Pelodiscus sinensis: one gene and its partners. The protein of the gene in region 3 purifies or fractionates together with the protein of the main gene of each other region. This does not show direct contact. Links are inferred from orthologs where the notes say so. Each region holds a gene or a part of one and is shown on either strand. Other genes may lie near its edges. The genes, in order: TBL1XR1, RUNX2, HDAC4 and HIF1A.

Evidence for each region.
Region 1: the proteins of HDAC4 (region 3) and TBL1XR1 purify together in Homo sapiens (affinity purification with mass spectrometry; 3 studies listed by BioGRID and IntAct, with this or other methods). This does not show direct contact. The link is inferred for Pelodiscus sinensis from reciprocal best matches to the Homo sapiens genes HDAC4 and TBL1XR1.
Region 2: the proteins of HDAC4 (region 3) and RUNX2 purify together in Homo sapiens (affinity purification with western blotting; 3 studies listed by BioGRID). This does not show direct contact. The link is inferred for Pelodiscus sinensis from reciprocal best matches to the Homo sapiens genes HDAC4 and RUNX2.
Region 4: the proteins of HDAC4 (region 3) and HIF1A purify together in Homo sapiens (affinity purification with western blotting; 4 studies listed by BioGRID and IntAct, with this or other methods). This does not show direct contact. The link is inferred for Pelodiscus sinensis from reciprocal best matches to the Homo sapiens genes HDAC4 and HIF1A.

Annotation. Positions count from the first base shown.
Region 1 is NC_134720.1:43,459,844-43,467,425, forward strand, and holds the start of TBL1XR1 (F-box-like/WD repeat-containing protein TBL1XR1), read right to left. Parts: upstream 3,012-7,582; 5' UTR 2,822-3,011; intron 1-2,821. UniProt on the Homo sapiens protein: F-box-like protein involved in the recruitment of the ubiquitin/19S proteasome complex to nuclear receptor-regulated transcription units. Plays an essential role in transcription activation mediated by nuclear receptors.
Region 2 is NC_134713.1:11,418,269-11,425,740, reverse strand, and holds the start of RUNX2 (runt-related transcription factor 2), read right to left. Parts: upstream 3,019-7,472; 5' UTR 2,893-3,018; intron 2,693-2,892; 5' UTR 2,632-2,692; coding exon 2,574-2,631; intron 1-2,573. UniProt on the Homo sapiens protein: Transcription factor involved in osteoblastic differentiation and skeletal morphogenesis. Essential for the maturation of osteoblasts and both intramembranous and endochondral ossification.
Region 3 is NC_134717.1:63,920,089-63,927,671, reverse strand, and holds the start of HDAC4 (histone deacetylase 4), read right to left. Parts: upstream 3,017-7,583; 5' UTR 2,868-3,016; intron 2,860-2,867; exon of another isoform or gene 2,638-2,859; intron 2,446-2,637; exon of another isoform or gene 2,294-2,445; intron 1-2,293. UniProt on the Homo sapiens protein: Responsible for the deacetylation of lysine residues on the N-terminal part of the core histones (H2A, H2B, H3 and H4).
Region 4 is NC_134714.1:13,950,688-13,957,804, forward strand, and holds the start of HIF1A (hypoxia-inducible factor 1-alpha), read left to right. Parts: upstream 1-4,114; 5' UTR 4,115-4,239; coding exon 4,240-4,265; intron 4,266-6,546; exon of another isoform or gene 6,547-6,796; intron 6,797-7,117.

The DNA of each region.
Region 1 (7,582 bases), on a different chromosome or scaffold from region 3:
CTCCTGTGTTATGGTAAACTCCATAACCATTCAATATACTTTACATGCACTTGGATCTATTCTTCCTCACTAAAAAAATTAACTAAAAACAAAGCAAATAGATACACATACAATATATTCACATTTTGACCATTTCAATGTACTTCATCCATCTCCTCATGTTTGTAGGATTTAACAACATTCATTACACTCATTATCTGAGTGATAATAATTACAAAGTCACAGTAAAGTTTTACAATGCTTAATATTTATATAATGCTTTGCAACTTCAAAGCCATGTACGAAACATCACTTATTGGAAGAAAAACTAAAACTGGCATTTGTAAAAATTTTCATTCATATTGTTTTGTGGGGGGGAATGCTGAGTAGCAATTATGTCTAATAATTTTGATCAACATTTATTATTCTCATTGAAGCAAGAAAACATTTAAATGAACAATATCAACTGTATACCCTTGTGTATAGGCTGAAATTAACAACTCAAGTCCCAACTACTCTTGCATGTTTAAATTTCCTTCTCCTCTTTCCCATATGGAGTGAATGATAAATATTTTCTAGGTGTTCAGAATACTATTTTGGGAGACTTGCCACAAAGTTCCCAAGACACATTCCAACATGAACCATGTGTTCACGGAGACAAGCCTGCGCTTCACTCTCAGGATCTTGAATTTTATTAGGAGAGAGTCTCAGGTAATATGTAATTAATAATAAAATAAATCACTTTGGGAAGCTACAGAATGTTTATTATTATTTACATAACATGAACAGCTATACTAAGCAGATTTACCTTAACAATGAAGTTTTTTTTAATTCTCAGGCTCTATCAAAATCTAAGCACATATTTAATTTTAAGTTCATAAATAGTCTCATTAAAACCAATGGAACTACTCACGTGGTTAAAGTTACACACCTGCATAAGTGTTTCTAGGATTTGAGCCTTAAATTTTAACTTTAAGCTGAAAAGATTAATATTAAGATGTCCATGCCAAGGCCAGACATCTGAGCTTTGGCAAAGTTCAGTGCACAATCAAGACCCAAAATTTGGCCCTAAAACTTAAGGCATTATTCAAAACTTAAACCTGAACTCTGCCAACAGCACTTCTGTCTACACTGTGTCCTACCTAAAGCCAACATTCAATATCCAGAGAGCATAGGCCATATATAATAAAGACCCTTCCCTTGTCAATATGTTTTGTGAGGCCCTCAAATATCTATTCAATATACCAGATCACCAAAGCAACAGCAATCAGGCTCAGATGTTTTATGGGACAACACAGTTTTCCAGATCATGACTCTCCATATCCTATGCTTTAACAACAAAGAATAAGCATATTTTGCGATCTCTTCCATAAATCAGTAAAGTTTTGATTTATACAGACAGGAAAATGAGGTTGTTGGGTACATCTGACAGCAAAGACCATGAGCAAACTTTACTCTGCAACCCTGAACAGCAACTACAGATGAAACTTTATCCTGAAAACTAAACATGCATTCTCAAGCAACAAGACTCTGCCATTAAGCACAACTTAAGGAGATTTTTATTATACATTTTCCAGAAAAGGGAATTTGGTGATGAAAGATTGAACTCACTAGGAACAATCTTAACATACATGTTTACCCCATTAAATAATATAGTGAAGTATGCATTTTGCCCATACAATGGGTAAATATAGTCAGCTAGCAGCACAATAAAACACGTAACTTAGGTGTAAAGCTCTTTTTTAAAATATATAATGCACAAAAAAAGATTGACTGGCTCATTTTGAATTTCTGATTAAGTTTTAAAAAATAGCCCATTAACAGGTATAAAGGCTTATTTGCAAAACTAGGGCCCATGAGTTGTCTTTTACACGTGGCCCTTATCCTGTCAGAGAAAATGTGACCCAGAAATCCACCCAGAATTAAACAGGAAACTGATCAACAATAACTTTAGCACTTTACAAGGGGGGAGGGGGAATTAATTACATATACAGATATTTTCTTCCCTTAAATCCAGGGCTGTATCTCAAATGTAGTTAAACAAAAAGGAAACACACCCCTCTAAGTTACAAATGAAAGACAATATACACCGTTGAGAATAAATAACCCCCCCCAAAAAATCACACAGAGGAAAGTGTGGACACAGATTCCCCTCCCCCACTCAAGCATGAGTTCAGACACAAGCACATTTCTCCCCAGCTTTTCTTAAAAATATACATTGCAGACACAACCCATAAGCCGACTGCAAAATAAATACAGACCTAAGGTCACACTTTGGGGTGGTCTCGCCCCCGCCCTCTATTTTAGAAATAGTAAATATGACGGGGGGGGGGAGGATTCTTCTTCTTTACACAAATCAGGCTAAAAATAGGCTATAAACCAGCCTGCCTCATGATGGCTCCTTGATTCAATTTGCTGCAAATCCCCCCCCCCCCTTAAAGCCTTTAAAATAAAATCCAAAGGAGAGGAGGAAGGGGGGAGGGGAGAAATAAGAAAGGGGGAAGAAAGGCAAAAAAACCCTCCAAAAAAACAAGCTTTACAGAGGTGCAATTTACAATAGAAACCACCAGCTCCCCCTCCCCCAAAAAAATACATTTTTAAAAAGGGGGACCCAAGTTGGGGGGGGGAAAAAAATGCATGTTACACTGGTGCCCATCCCCCACCCCCAACTATCACAGACACAAACACAGCTCCCTTCCCCCCACCCTGGATCACTTCCCCCACAGCCTCTCCCCACCCCCGCACCCCGAAAGAGGCTCCATCACCCCCCCCCCCCCGATGCACTTGATCCAGCCCAGGAGAGTAAAAAAAAAAAAGCCCCAGAACACCCCCAAGTCCTTACCTTGCCGTTGATGGCTGAGTGGCTGCTTTTGCCCTCCCCCCTCTCCTTTGCAATGGAGGCAAAAGAAATGCACCCTGGGTTTCCTCCTCTGTCTACAGCTTGAGACACAGACACACACACACTCTCCCTCTCAGCCGAGGTGCCCACTCCAAGCAACCATCCAAAAAAAAAAAAAAGGGAGGGGGGGGCAAAAAATAGCAAAAGGGGGGGGGGGAGAGAAAAATAATAGCCACCCCGCAGGGCTGTGAGAGTCAATGGTATCCCAAGGCAGAGTGGGGGGGGAGGGGTGGGGGAAGGGCTGGGCGATGAAGTCCCACGGAGGGGGAGGACCCTGTGTGTGTGATTTCGATTGAAGAGGAATCGAGGCAGAATGTAAAAAGCTGTTACTAAGGGAAGGAGCCAAACGGTTCGGAGCAGCCAACGGCTCAGACACTCCGCGCTGGGGAGAGCGCGCGCGCGGTGGCCAGCCGCACAGAAATGAGAGAGAAAGAGACGGGCGAGGAGCAGAGCAGCAGGCCCGGGCGGCTGGTTGCAAAAGCAACCACCAGCCTCCAGCCCAGCCATGGGGGAGGGGAGGGGAGACCCTCCTCTTCTCACACGCCCCCCCCCCCCCCTTTCCCAGGCAATATGGCCAAGGCAGGGCTGCTTTTCAGGATTCCGCAGGGGCCAGCCACATGCTGCCTGGGAGCAGGGTGGGTGGGATCCTGGGGTGCCAAGGGAGATACCCGCCTCTCCCCGCCGCCACCTTCCCTGTCACATGCCTTCCCAGCCAGCTGCACAGGGCCCTCTGGCCAGGCTCCTTTATGATTAGGCACACCACCCACCAGAGGGGTGAGGGGCACCCAGGGCGAGCCCTGCTCCTTCCTGCCCCAGCTTGTTGCGTAAGAGGTGGGCAACAGTGCAAGGCGGGCACTGGTTGATTATTAAGAATATATCGTAGCAGCAGCCTGCAAAGCAGCAGCAGGGTGAAAGCGGGAAGGACACGGGGGTCCAGTACAGTGAAGGGAGACCCTCGCACTTCACACACACACCGCTTGCAGCAAGCTGTATCAAGCGATATTGCCCAGGATTATTACCAAGACCATGTAAAGCAAAGCAAGCAGTGTGCACAGAGGGGAAGCATTCGGCAGAGACCCTCCTCTGCTTCCAGGAACACGCATACAGTATACTCCCCAAGGCCTGGCAGCACTTTACACTCAGCCTTATTGCCAGGTGTTGCCTTGTTATGAATGATGTACAAACCAGCAGCAGCCAGAAAAACAAGCAAGGAGTGGGGGTGGATGCTGGGATTCCAGTATTGCATGAGACACCTTCCCTTAAGACCATGCATGTGTACACACACACACACACGCACATGCACCCAGACACCCATGCAACAGCCTGCATCGTAGGGCAGTAATGCTGGGTAGTGTGGTTTTATTGTCAATCATCTTTTACACGCCTCCAGAACATGTTTCATGTCCAATGCATTTCCATAATATTGGCATTTAGCATGTATATAATGCTTTATTTTAAATTTTTTTCTTTTTTTTTTAACAATGGTAGGCCTCCATCCTACAATTGGTTCTGAGAGGGTTAACTCCAGAGCTCCACCCATGCTCAAGGGAACACCTACCTAGACCAATTGCATTCAGGGACTGCTTTCTTTTTCAGAATATAAAATGTCTTATTGATAATAATGCCATGCTGTTTGTTTTAGGACACTTTAATACTATTTAGCCTTTATGTCACAGGGTTTTAAAGCAAGCTTCATTAGTGTGAATCATATTTGTTAGTACACAATGCTTTGCATTTTAAAGTGCTTTGTGGATCACACTTACAGGCTCTGATTCAGCAGTCAAATTTGCACGTGCAGACGCTTGAGCCTGCACAAAGCCCTACTCCCTATAATCCTCGTGTGGATCTGACTGCAGGATCTGGTGCCAGGGTGAAATTCACACTGCTGGGGAGAGTCTGCTCCACCTGGACAGGATGGCCCTGAACTGTTCAACTGTGGAGGCTGAGGGCCCTGGTGCTTGTCTTTGTTAATTTTTTGTTATTATTAATATGTATTTAGCCCTTTATGGAGTATAGCACTTTCTCTTTTCAAATTCTTTAATTACGAAGCCAAAATAACTCAAGTCTATCAGCCGTTAAAACAGGGGTCAGCAACGTACGGCACACGTGCTATAAGTAGCACACAAAATGTTTTTGAGTGGCACGCTGGGAGTCCGCACTGCCGCTGGAGCCTCACAGCCGGTGCACAGCTGCAAGGCTGCAACCCCAGCTCCAGGGGACAGGGCAGGGAGGTGAAGAAAGCAAACTCAGCCCCCACCTCCATGGGCAGACCACAGAGCTACACATGGAGGAGTTCTGCCCAGCCTCCCCACAACGAAAAAGTCCTGCCCACCGCTGGGCATCCACCTCTGTTGTTCCTGCGGGGCAGGCTGCAGATTGGGCTGCACAGCTCTCATGGAGCATGAGCCACTAGCGCCCTCCTCCTTCCCTGGCACCAGGTTAGGCTGCGCTCCATCCAGTTTCAGTGGGAGGCGGCAGCACTGGGGCAGAGGACCCTGTACACACAGGAAGCTAGTGGGGGCTTGGGTGCCTTCAGGGCTCTGCACCCATGGGGATTCGGTCTGGGGGAACACAGATCTGTAAATAGAAAGTGAATGCCACTTCTGAAAGGTTACCAAACCCTGCTTTAAGACATGCTAGAGTCTAGTAGGACTTTGAAGCCAGCTGGATCACATGCAGGGTTTGAGGACCGCAGAAAGTCAGTTATATATTCTTATGTAGAAGCCACTTGGTTTGGGGGGTTCAGATTGTTACTGGATGGATATATTTTTAAAAAAATGATTTTTAATTTTGAAAATTGTGAAGGGGCCTAGAACAAGTAAGTATATTTGTGCATGTGTCGATAAATACAACAATTAATAGACCTTGTGGAGTGCTTTTTGGTACATAATGCTTTAATAATGTTAGCACTTACACAATCTTAAAATAAAAAAAATATAAAATGAGGCCCCACTCATACCAACACCAACATTTGTTTCACTACAAGCATGGGAGTAGACAAGATGGAATCAACAGGGCCACACACTTGTGTTTGCAGGACAGGAGTAGGTTTTGATTTACAAAGCCTTCAATAATTTGGGACCTTGCTTCTTGAAAGATTAATTCTTTCCTTCTTTGATTCCATGGCAGCATTGTTTAGGATGTGAAACTCTAGTTTCTATTATACGCCCTTGACCTTGGAACTCTTGTCCCTGCATAAATCTGAGCTCAGTCTGCTGGGTTGAGATATATGGGGTAATTGGACAAGGAAGATTATTTAGGGTGCTTGTTAAATGAGTAATCTATGTTTAGGATTTACAGAGTTGGGTTATGTGTAGAACCTAGGGAGTCATGTTTAAATAAATAATAATCTTTAGCACTGTTATTTTTTCCAAGCCCTCTCATACTAAAGGAGATGGAACTTTTGTGGTTTGGTCCTATCAGAAGTTCAGAGATGTGGTTAAACTCTGGATCCAAACTTTGAGAGACTTTGGATCTGGTGGGTTCCTGAGCACATTAGCATTGTGCGGCACATCACTTTCAGTCTCCCTCCAACTACAGCAGAACCTCAATTTTACAAACACCAATCTTATGAATGACCAGTTATACAAGCTATTTTTCCTGACAGAAAACAAACAAATCACATAATGAAAGTGATGTTGATGAAGAACAAGTCAACATTCCCTTCACATTCCACTGTGTTCAACATATTAGAAATTGCTTTACGGGGGTTTGAAAGACAAGAAAATTCTGCAGTACACTGTACTGCAATACAGTGTTACAGGCACTCGGGAACGGCTGTTGTCCATAACGCTGAAGTAGTAAAAACTTTAAAAACAACAAATAGTTCTACAGCATCTGAAGTAGTAGTTATGGACTTCAGTCATGTGTGGGGTTGGAGGCTGCCATCGCAGGCTCAGAGGAGGATCAGGGCTGGGGAAGGGGAAGTTGAGGTTTCTGACCCTTTGGAGCTCCAGGTCTCCAGCCGGGGGAGGAAGGGAGGAGAGCTAAGCACTTGTGCCTAGCAGAAGCATCAGGACCCAGCACTTTAGACCTGTGGAGATTGATGGGACTTATAGGGCTTCAGTCATGCAGCTCCCAGCTCCCCACAGCTCTATTTCTGCCCCTCAAATGCCCCAATCGGGAAGGTCTCTAGCTTCGGGGGAGTGCTAGGGATGAAATTGGTGCTTCCCTCAGAGCTTAAGCCCTGAGCCACCGAGCTCCACCTCAATCTAAATCCTCAGAGCTCCTGAGGATCAGAAGCCCCAACCTCCACCCCACCCAGAGCCTCGACCCTGTGGCTAATGTTCCAAACTTCCTCTTCCATGACTGAAGCCCTGAACCTCAGGGGTAAAGCCCCCCGCCCCAAGCCCTACAAGATTTGCATTTCCTCCCTTTGTATCTGTGCTGCTGCATGATTGAGGCGTTCCAGTGCCACAGGATGTCCAGTTGACTGATAAGTAAATAACACTGGTGTTTGTATCTTTTGACATTCTACTGCATGTGTCTTGTACTTATTGTAATTCTGAGATTTTATTGATGAATTCCTTAATCCATGTTCCCTCTAAGCTTTTCCATCCATGTGCAGAATAATTTTTTCACATGCACCAAGGCATGAGCAAATGTGCAGCGCCAAAAGAAACACAAAACTTTGCTGTGGGTTCTCTGCTAATTAGGCAGGTGGCATTTGACTCTCTCAAGCAACTGCACAAGCACACACTTTTT
Region 2 (7,472 bases), on a different chromosome or scaffold from region 3:
GTGTCTTGACAAACTCAAAATTAACAGGCTTGAATTAAAAGATTCAAAGCGTTACTATTCACAGGCAGAACTCAGTCCAGCCTGGGATTTAGCTCTACGTTTACCTGTGCTGTACAACAGTTTAAATACAGAACACAGTTTTTGGATAATTCAGAATTCATTAGATTAAGTAGGAATTTGTTTTTTGAAGTTATAGAAAATGCATGATGATTTCAGTTACGATTAAAATGCATTGCATCAGGTAAAATAAAAAATTGCAGAGATACTATTAAACTTATTGATAAGCAGATCAGAAGTCTGATGCATTTTACTTCCTTGGCTCTGCTGTCAGCCATCAGTAGTTCCACAGGTGAGTTCTTAAGAAAAACGCCATCAAATTTAACAGGCCCAATAAGAATAAATTAGAGAACAGAATGGGAGGAGACTAAATGCGGGACCTGACTATAATGAAGATCATAGTTGGATTATGCATTCTATACAGAACCACGCTATTTTGCTTGGAAACACTAATTTGATCTTCTAGCCTCTATTCTTATTTTTTTAAGATTAAATATAAAGTCAAGGAGATATTCTTCTCTTACTTTAGAAATTCATTGTAATTTGTCTCAAAAGACACATTTATTTGTTCAGCCTTACCTATATATGCAAAATTTGGAAGCACATTGGAACATTATTCAGTAGCTTAAAGAATGGCCAAAAGTAGATGAATTAAGCAGTCACCACTTCATGTTATGATAATTTTAGCCAACTAAATTTCTCCTAATCTTTTTTGGAAGTAAAAGCAAAAGAAAGTCCCTATACATGTAAACTGTATTTCCTGTTGTAAACACTGGGATAATGTGGTCTGGCTACACTTCGGCTGCGCTTCATTAGGACAGCAGTTTTAGTAGAAATACTGCCTACCATTAAAAAGTCTATTTTTTTGTGTCCATATTTTACCTCAATATTATGTGTAGTACACCTTTGCATGAGCACTTTCAGACAGCTAGTGCTGAGAAGCAGCACTATGTAGTCTATCAGTGCTTTTGTACATCATAAATTAAAGTTATTCTATTCCTTAAATATGAACTTTCTTTGTTTGATTGTGCTTATAGACTTACAGTACATTCATGTGCTTAACTACTAGCCAGTTGAAACGTGTGAAGTAGGAGGGGTAAAGGGAACTCCAACCATAAGCTAGTTACAATATAAGCTTAATCTAGGTGTATGTGCTGAAAGTATTTCTAGCATCCTTTTTTTTTTTTTTGTTCTCTGAAGTGTTTGTGGGGGAGGAGAGGTAAAAGTTTAGCTACAACCCCAACAAGGTTTCAGCATGATGGACAGCATTAAGAAAATCTTGTAAGTTTTCATGTGCTTTTCTTTTGGTTTCTCTGAGATCAATCAGATAGTTTTATTGACCTGTTTCAGTTAAAAAATTTGCATGTATACCTGACCGCTGATCAACTATTATGATGCTTTGGGATTTTGCTGTCACTCTTTCAGCTAACACTCAGCTGCATTGTGAATTTCATAGAAATCAGAAAATAATTATTCAGTTTTAGCGAATGATAATTAATATAATAGAGGATTAAAATGTGATTTATTGATTTTAAAAAACAGGTCTGGGGAAGGTTTAAAATTAAAGTGATTGCAATATCAATTTACAGCGTATATGTACTCTGTATATGGAACATGTATGTAAATATACACATGTGTAATTAATTATTATTTAATGAAGATATTTTAAGACCTGTTTACAGTTTTGAATATCAAGCTGATATTTGGCAAAATACTATTATACAGAGCTGCTAAAAAAATGCTACTTACAAATTAAACTGAATTTCTTCCACATTTTTAAATTCCACATATGAATAGTTTTTACAGAAAAATGATCTCAACTGATTCATGATTAAAATGTAGTTAGAAAAACTATTTTTAAAGAGCCCAATGCATTGTAATGCGTGTTTTACTGATTTTGGGGTTGACTCTAGATTAATGCTGAATACTTTGACGTTTATGCTAAATGACGTTTCTTAGTTTATGAAACATTTAAGACAATGGTAGGGCAGTTGTATAGGAGAAGTTTCTAAGTCCTGTATTTTACTTATTTTCTTCAGATACAGAGAACTAGCAGTGATAAATTAGTAATTCATTTGTCCATTGCAAAGATGCTGGAGCTATAAAATGCCACATTTCACCCCCCCCCCCCCCTGCCTCTGAACCTGATGCTCTTCTGTGATATTGTTTATTGTGCTCATTTAATATTCATATTTTAATAAGATTTTTGATTTTTTCAGAGCACCATCTTACTTTGCTAAATGCATACAACTAGAAACAGTGACTTACAAAGGTGACAGCACACCTGCTGTCAAACGCTGGATTGTACAGTATAGTGACTTCACTTTGCCTACCTTGTCAGATTACTATTTAACAAATTAGTGCTTAAATCTACATGTGTTATTTATGGTAACCTCTTTTTCATGACTACTCCCAAATATACTATGCGTTCTAAATACCATAAATATTATTTAACAAGTTTTTGGTTTGATGGCAGTCAGTGAGCATTGATAGAATTAAATAAACATAATACTTACCCCAAAAGAAGTTTTGCTGACATGGTGTCACTGAGCTGAACAGACTGTTTGATGCCATAGTCCTCTGTTTTCACACGCAACTTGTATCTTCTGGTGTAAATACTGCTTGAAGCCTTAAACTGAAAATACAAACCATACCCAATCCCAGTTTTAGTATTACAGTGTGTCTAGAGTGCATAAACTCTGTATTTGTTTTTTTCTGTCAAAAAATTGTGTTGCACTGATAACGTGAAAAGCAAGGAAACAAAACAAAAAGAGAATGAGCAAATATTTGAAGGACCTACTATTACTGCATAGACTGTGGTTAGAGAGCACTTACTGACTTGGTTGGTCTCAGTGGCTGGTAGTGACCTGCGGAGATTAACCATTTAAAAACCAGAGACTTCTTGCTATCCTCCTGGAGAAAGTTTGCACCGCACTTGTGGTTCTGTGGTTGTTTGTGAGGCGAATGAAGCATTCACATAATCCAAAAAAGCAAAAGCTTTAAAACTCCTTTTTTTTTTTGGAAGCACTGTTACTGGAGAGACAGAATCATGTGGTTTGTGACATCACAGTCCTCAAAGTAAGTGGGACTGCCTACCAATGTGGCTTTTCTTTCTTTTTCTTTGTCTTTTTTTTTTTTAATTTTATTTTGACAAAAGGCCTGTGGCAAGGCCCTTCCTGGCATCCAGAAGGATATAGCTTTTTAATTTTTGTGACTCATGAGGATTTGGAGAGAGTACAAAATGCTGAAAGAGCCCAAACTCCTGTACAGTTAAAGCATATGGACAGCAGAACTTTGTACTCTCAGTACAGGCTCTCCCTCACCCCCCCCCCCCCACCCACTTTCATTCTTTCTTTTGTTCATTATTGTGTCTGTGGAAAAGTAAGCAAAATTGGCGCAAGTGGCTGTGTGAAATTCTGAACAACAGTGATGATTTACAATAATTTACATCTTTGGATTGTATCACAATCTTGGGTCTGCTTCATATTTGCTGGGTGGCTGGATTCCTTCTGTTTTTCTTTTTCTTCTTGTCTTCCTATACTTGTGAATCTGTAACTCATTGTAAGAAATTTTACCTTTCCTAAGGTCTGGTAGCAGCCTGCTTGTTGGGGCTGTGTTTTGTAGTGTAATTGGCTGTCAGAGAAGCGTTAGTCTGGGTATTCCTTTACAAATCTTAAATCATGTCTGTCTTGCTTATGTACCTTAAGATTAGCTGGCAGCTTTATATAATGAAAATTAAGGGCAATTATTTATCAGTCTTGGCTTTTTTGCAGAATCTATCATTTGTATATTGTAACTACTTTGAGTACTGTATTATAAATTATGCTTTTTAATAAAACATTTAATGATTGAAATAGACATTATTAAACTGTGAATTTTATTGGTTATGGAATTTTGATTGCTAACATCAATTACTTACAATTTAAGTGTTTTAGAGAAACAGTATCACCTGAGACTTTTTGAGGGATCCTGTTAATAGTTTTATTTTGCCATTAATGTTAGTGCTTACTTTGAAAATGAAACATAATTTTGATGAATATGTGAGGCTTAAACACAATATAATATGCATGTGTAATATTTGTATATGCTTAATGGACTACAGCTTTAATTTAGTGCAATATAATCTTTTAGTATATCAGGACACAATGTGTTAACAAAAGCAGTATTTTTTGTTTATAATAGAGACTTTGAAATAAATTGCAAAATGCTGTGTGTAGTAGAGAATAATGTGTTCAGTAGTCTTGATTTGCTCAGTCAGATTCAGAATAAAATTGGAAACATCTTTAAGAAACTATCTTATTTTTGTTCCCTTTGGACATGTGTTTGTGTAAAACTCATTTTATTGTTAGCATGATTGTATCATATGAGCGCTGTATTTTATAATTCCATTATTTTTTGTATGTGGGGAGTCAGAAGAAAGGCAGAAAAGAAATACAGACTTGAAATTTTCTGAACATTTTTCATCATTTATTTGTAAAACTCTTCATAAGCATGTCTCTGGCAGTTGGCTTTCCTCACTCCTTTCCCCCTTTATCTCCTCCATTGCTTCTGCAATAAGCAGTTGACTAGAAGTGGTGTGAAACTAATTGGATGACAGATGGGCGGAGAGCAGGGTCTTTCTATTTTGGGTGGGTGGGTGGATGGAGTGTGGAGAGAGGAGATGGAAAACGAGTATTTCAGTAAAATTATTATTTGTACATTTTGCTTTTCTTTGGCAGATTCTTATCAGAAAAATATAAACCCAATCCTGTTTCTGAACATCTCAACGCAATATGTATTGGAATGTACACTATATTGTCTTCAGTTCAACACTTTACCTGTTCTATAGAGGTTGCCAAATGTCTAGGACTGTTTCTTTAAATGAAAACTTACTAGGTAGTGTATGAACTGATATATGTAGTTTGTAAAAAGTGCAATCGATATCAACTCAGCAAAACAAAAACCCACCTGTCCCTCTAAAAATGGGCTTCTTGTATCCCTGAATATAGATTTGTATTACACGATAGTGTCATCACCAAGAAAGCATTTTGAGGCATAAAAATGAATAAATAGAGTATTAATTATGTTGGATAAACAAAGTGTGCATGTGTGAGTTAGAAGTCATCGTTTAATATAATAAAAGCATTTGAAAGTGTTTGTATCTATGATTTGTGGAATTTCAAATTATAAGTACAAAATCTCAGCGAATACATTTACATGTTGAGAAAGTTTCAGATACTATATTATGCTAATGCTAAGTATATTCAGTTACCATATAATAGATTACTGTTGGAGGCAAATTCTTATATTTTCTCTCATTTAAGCCTGATCTTTATAATTTTAAAAGACAGAAGCCCCAACATTAATTATTATTCATTTCTTTAATAACTGAAAATCATACTCATCACATAGGACTGGATCTCTGAACTGGATACACTGAAGTAAAATTGACACAAGATGCTTTTTTTTATTACTTTGACTTGAGTACCTTAAGTTCATTCAACTAATGTTTCTTTTCTTAGTTTACTTAAATGGGATAACCTTTTGGACAGTAACAGGCTATTTTATTTATCTTTGATATCCAGGTTACGATTGCCACAATAAATTCTCCATTTAGCAGGGTGAAGATCATTGAACCATAAGAACACATTGTACCATGTGGGATTGAAATGTAGTTTTAGACATTTTCTATATTCATTTAGAACATAAATTTGTTTTCTCAGTGTTACAAATATTTTCTTGTTATTGTTTAAGTAAACTTTTTAATTATGAGAGAGTTTCTTAAACAAAAACATGTATAGACGTAATACCTACCAACTTGTTTCTTCAAAAATAACTGTTAATGTGATGAAGATATATTATTTCTGACAACTGTGTTCATTCACTGTGTAAACAAATTTAATTGCAGGCTTATACTTAAGACTTTTGTTCAGAAAGCAAAATTAACTTAAAATTACTTTAGGCTACTAATATAATTATAGCTATAAGTATTAGGCTAAAGAATTTGCTTTGTAAATTATGGACTTGTTCATGTGGACCATTATGGACTTGTTCAGTTATGGAGACAGTAAGTCTCATTTTGAAATTAAAATCAGTTTCAACACAAATCTAATACCATTATATTCTTGATCTTTTATTAAATTTGTTTTCAAAACCTGTAAGCCTTGCTTTATCTTATTTCCAAACATTTTGTTTTTTGTACTTTATCTAGCATAAAACCTATAGGATACATCGTAGAGAGTATATTTCTATTTAAAAAAATTTTTTTTTGGTATGGTCAACTTCCTACCAGCTAATTTTTTAAAGGAATAACTTATCCCCTGTGTTTTATGTTTCCCAGAAGAATAAGATTTTTATAATATGCCATATCCTTATGTTGCTACTTTTGATGCATCAAACTCACAGATACTGCTGCGTTTGGTCTGTCTCAAACAGTGTTGCATTTTCCTGTTTCTGTCGGCAAGAAGTCACTCTGCATTTCACAAATCCTTAGAAAAGTCATTCTCATTTTGGGTATAGTTTTGTTAGCAGTGCAGCAGTTTCTTACCTAATTTATTTACATTTTATTTCTGTGCAGGTGTGTAATTTTGGTATTTACACATTTTGTGAAAACTCCATTATATCGACTAATGTTTACTTGGATTTTAAATTTCCAAATTGTTACAGTTGTATGAATTATATTCAGTATCACAAATGTTAACTTATTACCACAAACCTTGTGTACTATTTAGCAGAAAGAGAGTATTTAATAGAAATACTTCTTTATGACAGCTTATATTGCTATTCATAGACATTCTTGCTGAAAGGCCACCAGGGTACTGAATGGATAAATGCCTAATTTTCCATGTGTGTTTATGATTGCCTTTGTTTTATATACATTGTCACCCCACCCTCTTTTTTCTCTTGAATCATAATTTAACTAGAAATGGAATGAAGCTGATAGTTTGGTTCTGTATGAAAAATTCTCTCTCTTCTTCCAGTATAAGCAAATATGGGTTGTCTTTTCTTAGTTTACTCTTTGGACTCTTACTGCTAAAGAAGTGTTTAACCCTAAAACAGAAATCTTCTCTACACATGGAGATGAGAGTAATTTTCTGTTAATTGGGAATTAATTTACTTCTAACTAACATAATTGTCTCTTATTGCCTGGGGTTACGAACCTTCCTTTGCCATATTCAGTAAAAAAAAAAGTAGTCACATAATGCCCATTTGAACAACAGTAATGGAAAACTTTGCCTGCTGTTCAGTCATTGAGCAAGGTTCTGCATCTTAGAAGCCAAATATATCTTATTGACTGCTGCTTTTGTACATTATTGCTCAATTATTTTTCTTCTTATCATTGGTATTCTGTTGTACAAGTCCTTCTAGTTAAATATAGTCCAGTAAGCAGTCAATAGTTGCTGTTTAAAATCATTATAAACTTTTTGTCTTTTCTC
Region 3 (7,583 bases):
GAACATTATAATGATTTTTTTTAAACTATGACATGACAATTGTTGCACAAACCAACATTTTATACAGTAAAACTCCATTTTAAACACACAGCAAATCAGAAGGAAAAGGGAACAAGGCACAGTGTATGGGCCAGAATGTTACCTGTAAGTTTCCTTTGATACAGTCATTTTGTGTTGTATGTTAACAGTATAGAAACAGCCTTGAAGTCATCATGAAAATTTGTTACACAAAACTATCTACGCTTACCAAACAAAATAATTCTGTCTTATGGTTTGCCAATTGATAAGTGTCTATTTGGCTCACGTATGTGGACAAGCATAATTTTGTAATGCTAATTTACTAATATCTCAAACAAGATAATACAACATAAGATATAAAAACTATCATAAGCATGAAATGCATAAGATTCTTTTACAAGTCCACACTTTAACCACGATGAATTTTGGTTACCATAAAAAAAAAATCAAAAGAGCTCCTTTTAATGGGTGTTGCATTCGATAGACTCACTTTTTAGCGAAGCATGTACACTGTGGGCCATCATCATGTTAGCACAGGCACATGTGCAGAAGGTGCCAGAAAAGATTCTGAGAAGTTTTATAAGAACACAGGCCACCACAACTCAGTTGTGTGCCATCTCCCTATTATAACTACGCAGTCAAAGCAGTAATTAATTACAGTTTAAAGAGCTGTCTTCGCTTCTTTATCCAGCAATCGCTTTTATATTTTAGTTCTGGGTTATGAATAACTGAACCATCCAAAGTCCTATCTTATCCAATGGAATACAGCCGGTCCCCAAGTTGCAAATGGTCGACTTACGACTGTTCGCAGTTACGACCAAAACTGTCGTAAATGGCAGACCCTGAGTTAGGAACGCAATCCGCGCTTACGAACAGCGCAGTCACATGTAACTCAATGGGGTCCGACTTACGAACAAACCGAGTTACGACCCACTTGCTTGGTCAGTAACTGGTTCGTAAGTCAGAAAGAGGATATATTTGCATATTTTCTAAACGTAATAGGTATTATCCTACCTATCTATTTTATTATATAATACACACACACACACACACACCCACACCCACCCACCCCCAAAATATATATCTCCCTCCCTCCCTCACTGGGGGGGGGGGGTAAAACTAAAGGACAAATTTGACTTTTGTTTTAAATTGGCTTAAAATGAAGAATTCTAAACAGCTTCATCAATTCACAAGTGAGCTCAACCTTTCTTATGCCAGAACCCCCCGCCCACACCCTTGCCACTCCAGAGAGCACGTCTTCTCTAGTAAATGGCTGAAAGGGACAGACTGTTGCACTGGCTAGGGAGGGAGCTCTCTAGGCAGGGCAGTAGGAGGGACATGAGTACACCCACACCCTCACTACTTCCATCTGCAAGGATCCCCCTGCCGCAGGAACACTCTCCCCCCCACAGACACCCCCAGTGCCCGTGACAGCCTACCAATTCCCCCACACACATACACCAGTGACTGCTGAACAGAGACAGGCACTCAGCCCTCCAAACCCCTGCACACAAACACAGCAACGGGTGGGCCGCACAGACAGCAAGTATCGGACAGACTGACCCACACAGCTTCCCCCGTACACAACAGAGCCAAAGCCTGACAGACAAATGCTACCCAACATGTACAAGTGACTGTGGACAAACACACAATTCCATCCCCCCCAATCGCACACACACATACATCCCATGTGTGGCTGTCCGATAAACATACAGTCCCCTCCGCACACACGCCACAGACAACCCGCCCCCACACACACACCCCCATGTGCCAGCCTGACACACAAAAAACCCCACCCACACATGCATATGCATGCACACACACAGCCTGGGTGCCTGACACCCTCCTCCCCCCCACACACAGCGCCCCAGTGCCAGACCCTCCCCCCCACACACAGCGCCCCGGTGCCAGACCCTCCCCCACACAGACAAACCCAGGGTGTCGGACTGCCCCTCCCACACACACACACTAGGTGCCGGACTGCCCCCCTCTCTCCCCACACACACCCCAGATGCTGCCCCCCCCACACACACACACAAACACAGACCAGGTACTGGCCCCCCACACACACCCCTTATGTCGGCCCCACACACACACGTGGACATGGACACCCCCCCCCTCCGCGTTCCAGCCCCCACACACACCCCGTGTGCCCCCCCCACACATCCCTTGTGTTGGCCCCACACACACCCACCCCCCGGACGCGCAGCCCCCGGACCGACCGGCGGCCCCGCCCCGCGACACGCGCTGGCGCGGCCGCTCCCCGCGCACTCACCGGCCGCAGCGCCCCACCGAGCCCCGCGCGCAGCGAGGCGGCACCGCGGCTCCAGAGAGGGCGGAGCCGCCGGGAGCCGGCGAGGGCGGGACACACCACAGCCCCGGCCCCGCCCGCCCCATTCACAAAAACCCCCGGCCCCGCCGCGCCCCGCGCTGACTGGCCGCGCCGGGGGTCAGTCACCTCGCCACCCGCCCCCGGCACCCCTTCGTCCGCCCTTATTGGCGAGCACTCGCGGGCCCGCCCTCCCCGCGCTGCCGCCCAATCGCAGCAGAGCGTGACCCTTCAAGCGGCTCAAATGCACCCGCCACTGCGGAAAGTACGCCCCCCATTGGTGCTCCGACCTGCCCATCAAACCCTGGTCCGGAACCCTCCGCGGTTCTTCGCTCCGGCCAGGGAGAAAAATAGCCGTGCGCGGCCCATCCCTTTAAGGGTCCGGCGGCCGCGAGCCGCCTCCGCAGAGCGAAAAAGCAGGCGGACAAAAATACCCGCAGCCTTAAAGGGGCCGCGCCGCGCCTGCCGCCTCCCCACGGGCGCGGCCCCCGGCGGAGCGGCGCGCGGAGCCGGTACTGACCTGTGCGGCGGCGGCGGGCGCCCGGGGCGGTGGCGGCGGCGAGCCACGGGGAGGGCCCGGCGCGGGGCGGACACAGCGGCGCGCGCGCCACCAACGGACTCAGCCCGTGATGGGATCCGCCATTTTGGAATTTTTAGATGGAAAGTCACGTGGTGCGACCATGTTTTCCCTGCACCAATCAGGAAGCGGCGGCTATTTATAGCACCTTCCCCCCCCCCCCCGCTTCCCCCTCCCATGAGGCACGAGGGGGGATGGGCCGCGGAGCCGGGCGGCGCGCGCGATGCGGGGGCGGGGCCGTAGAGAAACCGCCTTGTCCCCCCCGGCTCCCCACATCGCCCCCCCTCCCAAAACCCCTCCCGACATCAGCCCCTCCCAACCCCCTCCCCACATCGCCCCCTCCCGAAACCCCTCCCCACATCAGCCCCCCAACCCCCTCCCCACATCGCCCCCTCCCAAAACCCCTCCCCACATCAGCCCCCCAACCCCCTCCCCACATCGCCCCCCTCCCAAAACCCCTCCCCACATCAGCCCCCCAACCCCCTCCCCACATCGCCCCCCTCCCAAAACCCCTCCCCACATCAGCCCCCCAACCCCCTCCCCACATTGCCCCCTCCCAAAACCCCTCCCCACATCAGCCCCCCAACCTCCTCCCCACATCGCCCCCCTCCCAAAACCCCTCCCGACATTAGCCCCTCCCAACCCCCTCCCAAAACCCCTCCCGACATCAGCCCCCCCAACCTCCTCCCCACATCGCCCCCCTCCCAAAACCCCTCCCGACATTAGCCCCTCCCAACCCCCTCCCAAAACCCCTCCCGACATCAGCCCCCCCAACCTCCTCCCCACATCGCCCCCCCTCCCAAAACCCCTCCCGACATCAGCCCCCCCAACCTCCTCCCCACATCGCCCCCCCTCCCAAAACCCCTCCCGACATTAGCCCCTCCCAACCCCCTCCCAAAACCCCTCCCGACATCAGCCCCCCAACCTCCTCCCCACATCGCCCCCCCTCCCAAAACCCCTCCCGACATCAGCCCCCCCAACCCCCTCCCCACATCAGCGCCCCCATCCCAAGGCCCCTCCCTACATCAGCCCCCCCGCTCCTCCAGCCCTCCCCCCAAATCCCCTCCCCACATCAGCGCCCCCCCTCCCAAGGCCCCTCCCTACATCAGCCCCCCCGCTCCTCCAGCCCTCCCCCCAACCCCCTCCCCACATCAGCGCCCCCATCCCAAGGCCCCTCCCTACATCAGCCCCCCCGCTCCTCCAGCCCTCCCCCCAAATCCCCTCCCCACATCAGCACCCCTGCTCCTCCGGCCCCTCCCCACATCAGCACCCCCCTTCCAAGCCTCCTCCCCACATCAGCCAACCTGCTCCTCCATTCCCCTCCCCACATCAGCCCCCCGCTCCTCCAGCCCCCTCCCTACATCAGCCCCCCTCCGTGTTCCTCCCCACATCAGTTCCCCCCCCCCGTTCCCACATCCCTCTCTGCACATCAGCCCCCGTTCCCCTCCTGCTCCCATCCCCCTCCCCACATCAGCCCCCCCCTTGGCACCCTGCCCCCCCCAGAACTGGATCCTTCTCGCACCAGCTCCTGCTCCCACCTCATCTCCCCACATCACTCCTACTCCCACTGCCCCCCCCCCCGCACCAGCCTCTGTTTTGTCCCTTCCCACAACATGTTCCCCACCATCCCATCCATCCTGCACTAACTCCTGCATGCCCTCCCATCCCTGTGCCACCATTCCTTCCTCTTCCTGGTGCCTCATCCCTCCCACATAGCTCTTGGCACTCCGGAGTCCAAACAGCTGTTTGCCATAGGTCCCACTACCCTGTCCCCTTTAACTAGTGGTTGTCCCAAACCCCACATAGGATGTTGCAGACTATCATGGCCCTTAAGAGTCAGGAAGAGTGGCCCTTTCCCTCGCATGTCTCCTGGATGCGAGTAGCTGGACAACCTCTCACATCTACAGGAGGCTTCCAAAGATGGATGCTGTTCCTCCTCAATCCTCCAAGGAGTGTGTACTAACTAGTCTTTGAACTCCAACAGCTCAAAGATCATGAGTCAAGCCTTCCTTCCCACATCAACAGAATTTGCTTAAAAATCCTGAGATTTTTTTAAATGTTTGGTCATTTTCTGTACCTTCTGATTTCACATTGTCAGAGTTTGCACGGTCATGCGTCTCTGAAAATCACAAGGGCTTGCAACATGCTCCTTAAATGAAAGCTGAGACTGTCACACCACGGGACGCTAGGCATTGAGGTTTTTAAGAAAACCCACTATCACGACTCTTGATAACACTGCAAGAATTGACAGCGCTGTAGAAAAGTCCTTGTTTTTGCCCCAACCCACTGGAGCTCAGGCAGAGCTTGGCAGGAATTTTTGGCAGGATTCGCCACATGAAAGCAAGGAATCCCTAAGACAGCTCCCCCCACACACGCACACATGCACCCCATTCTCTGCCTACCAGACTGGGTGGGGTGGTGGGACTACAGGATTCTGTCCTGCAGGGAGCTGGGGGTGGAAGAGTTTTAGCCCTGTGCCCAGGCATGCACCACCTGGTGGGGCAGATTGAGTATGTCTTGTGGCTCTTGAACTTCAAAAAATTATTGGCTGAAGCTTAGAGGGTAAGTTAAGCCACTCCTGTACTTTCTGTTCAAAGCAGGGGCTGAGCTCCTTTGCCCCTCAGCTTACACAGGAGGTCTTCTGGCAGGCTCTCCCTCATCCAACTCCAGATCCACCTCCACTCACTGGTGGATGGGGGGGAAATGCGTGTGTGTGCAATAAGCACAGCAAGGGCTCGGGATGACGTCAGCGAGGCTGCAGAGGGGGCATGGCTGAGGGAAGGCTGAATGTGATGGAGTGCAGAGAAGGCGCATGTGGAATGTGAGGGGGTGTGGAATGGGGTTGAAGTTTGAGTTAGCTGAGCCTTTATGAAGGTGAATTGGGCAGTGGGGGAGTATAAAGTCAGTGCAAGTGGGGTGGATGTGCACAGGAAGCACCGGCATGTGTGGCACCTGTTTGAGTTGAATTTTCATGCCAGTTTGGCTATTCCTGTCCCTAAACAATGTCATCTGTGTGCCTAGAGCCCTGCCAATGGCAACCTTTAACAACCTCCCCCCCCCCAAAACTCCTCCTCTTCCACATACACATGCCAATTCTGACTCAAAGACCTGGCTTACACTACCATGGGAGATCCATCTAAGTTATGCAGCTTCGGCTACACGAATAAAGTAGCGGAAGTCAATGTACTTAGCTCTACTGACCGCAGTATCGTCACTGCGCCGTGTCAACTGGACGCACTCTGCATAAGGCGGAAGCCCCTTTTTGTTTCCTTTCTAGTTTATATTGGCAGGGGGGGTGGATTGTTTGCTCATTTTCTTTAGTTGGTGAAATTTTGGGTTTGGTTCTGAGCTAGTTCTGGGCCAAGTTGCATCAGTGTGCATTTTACTTTTTTGTGTGTTAATTGCTAAGAGACGGGGACAAGGCTCAGATTCTGAAAGATATGTAGGTGCCTAAATACTTTGGAGGATCTGGACCTAAGTAACTTAGGTGTTACAGTTTATTAATAGCTGGTAGAACAATTCACAGAATAAGATTTGGAGGTGCTTTAAGTTCCTGTATGGGTCTGATTGAGCTGTGATCAATGCAGGACCAAGGTTGATTTACGTCCACTTTAGTGGCTCCATTTTAGGGTTCAGTTGGGAGGTGTTTTGGTCACTAGCATAATTAGAGCAGGCTCACTGCCCTAAAAGGGGTCATTCCAGCATCTGAACATAACTGGAGCCTTGATACACTGCCTGTATCCCATTTCTTCTGGATATTTCCCCTTGTGCTTGGAGCTGAAGGCTGGGACCTAGGCTCTGACTAGCTCTACTTCTGAAGGAATTCCCAACTGGCCAGATTTGCTAGCTTCACGGTCTTTTTGCAGTGCTGGAGTACCACACAAAGGTGACAGCAGAAAAGAGAATTGTACCCTAGAAGATGCCTTATAGTATAGCTATTGTCTTCAAGATTTGATGGATGTATTATTGGTGCATGGGCATAGGTGCACCAATTAATATCCAGTTTACGGTAACCAGGGCATGGCACAATGACTGAAAATTCAACCTTGTTGCTGTCCCTCTAAATTAAAAATAAAAAAGTTAAGCCTAAGAAGCATTTCTACTATATGTTAAATTCAGGTGCATTCAGGGTAGTCTGTTTTCACACTGTAATTATTCTGAAAATTTTGCTTAAAAGCTATTGAAATCCACAAAAAAAAAAATCAGCATGGCTAATTCATAAAGGCTCAAATAAGATGCAATTAAAGTACTTCCCACCCACCTCTACCTTATCTTTAGCTGATTGCTACTTCTTGTTTGACAAAATGGTTACATTTTTTGATGTTCTTAATAAAAGGAAACAGATATCACCAGGCCCCAGCAAGTCTACCTCCCAGGCACGTGGATTGAGTGAAGGTAGAGTAAGACAGCTTGGGGGTTCCTGCTGCACTCCCCCCCAAACTCCAGCACTCTGGTACCAGCCCTAGATGTTGGTGATGTCACACTGTTTTGTAATTCTGGGCGCAAGTTTGACAGCTCTGTCCCCTCCTCTTCTCATTGTTCTTGTCCCCTTGATTCTATTTGCTTGTTCCTTCCTGCCATCCCACTCTTGCCACCACAAAAGAATACATACCTTTCAAGAGATCTCTGTGCTGGTCAGCAGGAGATCCCAGCATAGAA
Region 4 (7,117 bases), on a different chromosome or scaffold from region 3:
CCTTCATCAGTTCTTGGATGAGAAATCTCAAAGGATAAAAAGAATCCATGACATATGTGTATCAGATTGCAGCAACTATTCGCCCTGCCATTTCTGTTTAAACTTCAAAGTCACCATTTTCTTCAGTTGTATGCAAAAAATGACTTTATCTGAGTTGTTAAAATTAAAAACCTACATATATAAAAGCCAGGGAGTTAAGGGTATCACAGCACCACCAACTTGCACCTCAAGGTGCTTTCATTACATTATAAAATATGTACAGAAAGGTATGCCAAAATTATCTTTAAAAATCAAAGATAATAAAATATTATCTTCAACGGGTGTAGCTCCTTGTGTATCATTCATTTAAGAGTATATCAAATTACCCAGCCCTAAATGAGCATTTATTATTGTTTGTTTTATCATTTATTGTGGGAATGTCTACAGGTGAACCAAGCAGAGGGCTCTATTGTATTAGGCACTGTACAGAAAAGCAGACAGCACCTGTCCTGAAGAGTTTATAATCTAAATTGACAAGATAGACCCAGCATGGGAAAGGAGACAGAGCAGCTGCAGATCCATGTGATGGAATATAATGAAAGCTTTTTAGCACTTCTGAACACCCTCTGTATCTCACTTATATTTACCCCTCACAGAATAAGGCCTATAATCCACATGATCGAGAAGACATAGTTAACATTGCAGGGGAGCCTTCAATGCTAATTCCACTGACTCGGACCAAAAGTTTCTTTCTCCACTCTCCTTAGCTGTGGTCATGTGGGCTGTGTCTACATTTGTACTCTTTTCAGTAAAAGGGATGCTAATGAGACAAGTCGGAATTGCAAATGCCGCGGAGGGTTTAAATATCCCCCGCGGAATTTGCATGAACATGGCTGCCGCTTTTTTCCGGCTCGGGGTTTTGCCGGAGAAAAGCGCCAGTCTAGACGGGATCTTTCAGAAAATAAAGCCTTTTCCGGAAGATCCCTTATTCCTCTTAAAATCAGGAATAAGGGATCTTCCGGAAAAGGCTTTATTTTCCGAAAGATCCCGTCTAGACTGGCGCTTTTCTCCGGCAAAACCCCGAGCCGGAAAAAAGCGGCAGCCATGTTCATGCAAATGCCGCGGGGGATATTTAAATCCCCCGCGGCATTTGCAATTCCGACTTGTCTCATTAGCATCCCTTTTACGGAAAAGGGTGCCAATGTAGACATAGCCGTGGTGTGTCATGTTCTTGGTGCTTTTCTCTTTTCCAGATATTTCTTACTGTGTGTCTATATTTGTTAGGCTTCCTTCACAAAGCTTACTATGTCAATCTGGCTATGTCTAGACTGCAAGCCTCTTTCGAAAGAGCCTTTTCAAAAGATTCTTTTGAAAAAGCCTCTTTTGAAAAAGAGTGTCTAGACTACAACCAGTACTTTAAAAAAAGCAAGCCACTTTTTCAAGAGAGAGCACCCAGGCAGTCTGGATGCTTTATTTCGAAAAAGCACAATTTTCTATTACATAGTATCTTTTTTCGAAAGAGCACTTTCGAAAAAAGGCGTTATTCCTTGTAAAACAAGGTTTTCCATGGTCGAAAAAACTGCTGCGTTCTTTTGATTTACTTTCGAAAGACTGTGGCAGCAGACTAGACATGGGAAGTTTTTTGAAAAAACCCTGTAGTCTACACCCTCTCTTCACCAACAAAGTCTTGGCTTGTACTTGTGCTGGCACAGTTGTCTCTTGGTTTTTTATTTGAGTTTGCTTGCAAGTTCGTTGGGAAAGGACCTAGTCTTTTTCTGTGTTTGGTAAAGCACCATGGATGCTCGTCATGCTGCATACGTAAAATACTATGACATCTTTTGGTACCAAAGGTACTAACTAATTGTATTATATTCAGCACAGAACATTTTCTTAATACTATATTAACAGAACTTATTTTACCTGTATTGTATTGCAAAAGACTAGAGTGATAAATGGTTGCAGGTGTGTACTATGGTTGCATTGCAGTCATATTTCTCCTACAGTAAGGCTACGTATTCACCAGAAGTCGGTCATCCCATTGCATCAGTCCTCCTACTGAAGTTGGTAGGAGTCTATCTGTTATCATAATGGGAGTTGGAGTGGATCCACTGAACCCTGTCTTATAAACCATTATATTCCCAAGTGGCTTTTTGCAGGTGAGTAGTCCTATTAATATAAATAGGACCACTTCTATGTATCAGGTTATTCATGAAGAGTCTCAGGATAGGGGACATAATTTTTAAAAGACCTTATTGTTTTATTAGTTGTGTCTATTTGTTCTATAAATGGAAAGTTTGTGGTCTGAGCCATGCCCGGTGACTTCTAAACAGCAATGTTTGAATCATTGTGTAGGGCAGGAAGACATATAGAACACTGCCTCCTGCCATTTTCCATGCTCAGCTGCAACAGCAGTTCTGATGTGTAGAGCCTGCACAGACACACAATCTGCTCTCCTGCAGTCTCTCCTGCCAGTGTCATGCCCTGGGTCCCTGGTGCTGCTCCACACACCAGGGCTTTGATCCTGACCTCAGCTAGGGGTAGGAGAAGGCAGGGTAAGGGGGAAGAAGTCAGCACTCCCACCCCCTTAAAAATGTTCCCTGGGCCCTAGCAGCTGGAGTTTTTCTAGCATCACTGGGGATGTGTGTGGGGGAGGATCTCTAGCTTCTCTGTGGGTAAGGAGTGTGGCAGTGACATCCTCAGGGGTCTCTAGGCTTCTCAGTGCAGGGGGGCCTTGGAGTCAGGCTGGGGCGGGAGAGTCTCTTCCTCACTGTGTCTGGGGGGCAGGCTCGAGGTTCACTATGCATGGGGGGCGGGGTGTCACTAGCCCCACTGAGCGGGAGAGAAGAGAGAGTGTCATTGGCAGAGAGTCTCTAGCCCCATTGTGCAGGGGTGTGTGTATAGGAGGCAGCCTGGGGGTGTCTCTAGTCCCACTGTGCTGGGGGGGAGGGTTGGAGTCAGGGTGGGGGTGTCTAGCCCCACTGTGCTGGGAGGCGGGGGCCAGAGGCACAGGGGTCGCTAGACTCACTGTGCTGGGGGGGGGGGGGGCTGATGCGGGGGAGTCTCTAGACTCATTGTGTTGGGGGGTCGCTAGACTGTGTTAGGGAGAAGCGGGGGGGGTCGCTAGACTCACTGTACTGGGGGGTCGCTAGACTCACTGTGCTGACGGGGGTGGAGGCAGGGGGGCTCGCTATACTCACTGTACTGGGGGGGTTGCTAGACATAGTGCTGGGAGGGAGGCAGGGGGGTCGCTAGACTCACTGTACTGGGGGGTGGCTAGACTCACTGTGCTGGCCGGGGGGGGGGGGGGAAGGCAGAGACGGGGGGGTCGCTGGCGGGGGGGCCGGGGGGGTCGCTAGACTCACTGTGCTGGCGGGGGGGGGAGCTGGCGGGGGGGTCGCTAGACTCACTGCGCTGGCGGAGGGGCCGGGGGGGGGTCGCTAGACTCACTGTGCTGGCGGGGGGGGGGAGCTGGCGGGGGGGTCGCTAGACTCACTGCGCTGGCGGAGGGGCGGGGGGGGTCGCTAGACTCACTGTGCTGGCGGGGGGGGGGAGCTGGCGGGGGGGTCGCTAGACTCACTGCGCTGGCGGAGGGGCGGGGGGGGTCGCTAGACTCACTGTGCTGGCGGGGGGGGGAGCTGGCGGGGGGGTCGCTAGATTCACTGTGCCGGGGGGGAGGAGGCGGGGGGGTCGCTAGACTCACTGTGCTGGCGCGGGGGGGTCGCTAGACTCACTGTGCTGGCGGGGGGGGAGGAGCCGGGGGGGTCGCTAGACTCACTGTGCTGGCGGGGGGGGGGGGAGGAGGAGGAGGCGGGGGGGTCGCTAGACTCACTGTGCTGGCGGGGGGGGAGGAGGCGGGGGGGTCGCTAGACTCACTGTGCTGGCGGGGGGGGGGGGAGGAGGGGGGTCGCTAGACTCACTGTGCCGGGGGGGGGTCGGTGCTGGGCTCGGGGCCCCGCCGCCTGGCCCCGCCCCGAGCGCTCTGCAGGCCGCGTCCGCGCAGGCCCGGGCGGAGGGGGCTCGTCCCCCGCACACAGCCCGACACGTGCGGCTCCGGCCCCCTCGCAGCTGTTGGCTCAGCTGACCCAGCCGGCGAAGGGGGCCGGGCGCCCGGCGGCCGCTCAGTGGCTCGGCGCCGGCTCGGGCCCGCCCCGCCCGGCCGCGGCGCCCCACCCCCGGCCCGCCCTGCGCGCTCAGAGCCGCCGCCGAGCCCGGCCCTGCCCCATGCGCTGAGCCGCCCCGCAGCAGCCAGGAGCCGCCGCCATGGAGAGCGCCGGCGAGAAAAAAAGGTACCGGGGCCGCGACCCCCCCTCTCCCGGGGCCTTCCCCTCCCTCAGGAGCGCCCCGCGCGGCCTGCGCCCTCCCCCGCTCTGTGGGGCTGGGATCCCGCCTGCCGGGGGGGAGCCGCTGGGTCCTGCCGCTCTCTGCCCAGCTCGGCCTCCCTTGGGGTCCCCTAGGCAACGGGGGGGGGGGGCCCCTTCATTCCAGTGCCCGTCACATTCCGGTCCCCCCCATTTCCAGGCCCCCCCTTTTCCTTAGCCCCCCACTCCTGCCCCCCACCCATCGCGGCCCTCCGGAGAGGGCTGCTCTTTCATTTCTCCTCCTCCTCCTCCCCGCTGTCCACGTCGCCATTTTGTTGGAGGGGGAAAAGGGGGGAGCGCTGGAGCTTAGACAATTAACATCCAGGATTTGCGTGGGGAGTTTTTTTTGGGGGGGGGGGCAGTTCTGCTTAAAGTCTTTTGGTCGCCCCGAGGAATCGGTGGCACTTCATGCACGAGGCCCCCTGGGATTCAGTGTCTTGCAGCTGAGACTTTTTTTTTTTTCTTCCTGCCACTGAATTTCAAAAAATAAAACCCTTGGTCTGCTCTTGGCTTGGAATAAGTAGGGACTGGCTTGCAGTGGATTAAATATGTGTGTTCACCAGATTTCCTGGCTCAGTGCGGTGTGTAATTTGTTAATGTGTGAGTGTAATGAATATTAGGCTGCGAAGAGGGAAGGATTGAGTCTGGAAATGGGATTTAAGAACAGTATCCATGTTCAAATATCTATATAATCTGTCAAAAATAGGCAAACCCCGATTGATGAAGGTAGAACAGTTAAAGGAAGCAGAAACGAAAGTGTGCAGCTCTGTACTAGCTATTTCGAAAATTGACATTTTGAAAGCTACATTAGGAGGAAGGAGAATGTCTGTGTGTATATGTTTAGAAAATAAACACAGTATTTTTTGTGATTGGAGTTGTACCATAACATACTGAGTTGAAAAGGGTAGGTTAACAATGAACTGTGAAGTTTTTTTTTTGTTTTTTTAAATTAAGGCATCTTCTGCAATTTTGGTGTCCATAATTGGCTATTTTTGTTAGGGGGGAGGAGTAGAGATTCTTAACATGTTGAACCTATAAGTAGCAATTCTTCAAGATATTGATTTCCTAGAAAAGAGCTAATTTACTGAACAATAGATGTTCCAAGTGTAAATAACTTTCTTGGCGAAGAATTTTCAATTTAGATTTAAAAGGGAGAAACGAAAGCTTCAAGAAATAAACCTTAATTGTATGGTGAAGGTGTAGAGTTTGCTGAGGAATATTTTAGTGATGAGGTTTTTAGCTTAGACAAATTCCTCCAAATGAGGTTTGTGGAGGGATTAATTTAATCTCTATCTGTAGAAGGCAGAGTATATTTATGTTGTTGATACCATTTTTGAGATCTTGGACTTTGGATCAGAGAATCATCTGACTAGGTCAAATGAGATATAAAATGCTTTACTATTTAAATGATACTGGGAATGAGAGAAATGCAATATCTTTGTGGCTGAATTAGCTTTTCATGGTGAATGTTGATTTTGTGCAGCTAGAGCACATACTCTGGGTGAAAATACTGAGCAATTTTCTTGGGGAAACACCACCTTTGCACCAGTTTTAATTGTTTGTTTTAATAAACAAAAAAACCCTGTGTAACAAAATGCATACAGTAGGGTACGTATGGGTGGTGCCTATTATAATCCATGTATAACTATCAGGGAGCCTCATAGAAAATGTTGCATCATAAGTGAATGACCTTTACCAAGCTTGGCCCAGTTTAAAGCTGGTCTGGAAAAAAATTAGGAATTCACTTTTTTTTATAGTCCTGTCAATCTCTGTCCATGACTGTTGTTTTTCATACTTTTCCTGCTCATAGTACTCATAGACTTTAAGGTCAGAAGGGACCATTATGATCATCTAGTCCCGTGGTCCCCAACACGGTGCCCGTGGGCGCCATGGTGCCCGCGGGGGCATTTGCATGCGCCCACCAGGTGCTCGGGGCTGGCCTGGCCCCGGGCACATGGCGCACGGTGAGCGCCGGCCCCGGGCGCGCGGCGCTTGGGGAGGGGAGGGAGCGCCGGGCGCGCGGCGCTTGGGGAGGGGAGGGAGCGCCGGGCGCGTGGCGCTTGGGGAGGGGAGGGAGCCCCGGGCGCGCGGCGCTTGGGGAGGGGGCCGGCCCCGGGCGTGCAAGTGTCCCCGCCCTCTGGCGCCTGGCGGGCGAACGGCCACGCCTCCTGGCGCCCGACAACCTCAAAAGGTTGGGGACCACTGATCTAGTCTGACCCCCCACACAGTGCAGGCCACAGAATCTCACCCACCCCCTGCTGCTGGAGTTGATCTGCCTTTTGGGGGTAGGGAGGGAAGATTTGCTGGGGGGCGTGATGTAAGAATCTGTGTATCTAGGAGAGAAGGAATAAACTCAAGGTGAAGCTCAAGAGAGATAATTTATTGGTTGCTGCTTTTGGAGACCTACTTCAGTGTGGGAAGAACTTCCATCTGAATCTTCCTGTAGCATTGTCTTTACGGTAAAGTATTGCGGCATATTGAGTACTCTTCTGGATGTTATAAACGTATAGAGCAAAGATTTGGGTAGGTTTTTAAAAAAAAGGAAGGACATACGTTGACATTTACGCAAGCTGGAACAGAGAACTTGTTGAAAGTCTGTGTTGAGAGACAAGGTGGATGAGGTGTTGGTGTTAACTTTTATTCTGCCAACTTCTGTTGGTGGAAAAGGCAAGCTTTCAAACTACACAGAGCTTTTTTTCACCCACCTTGTGCATCTAATATATCTGGGAACCAGTAGGGCTACAACACTGCAAACATCAAGTGTTACTTAACAGTCCCAC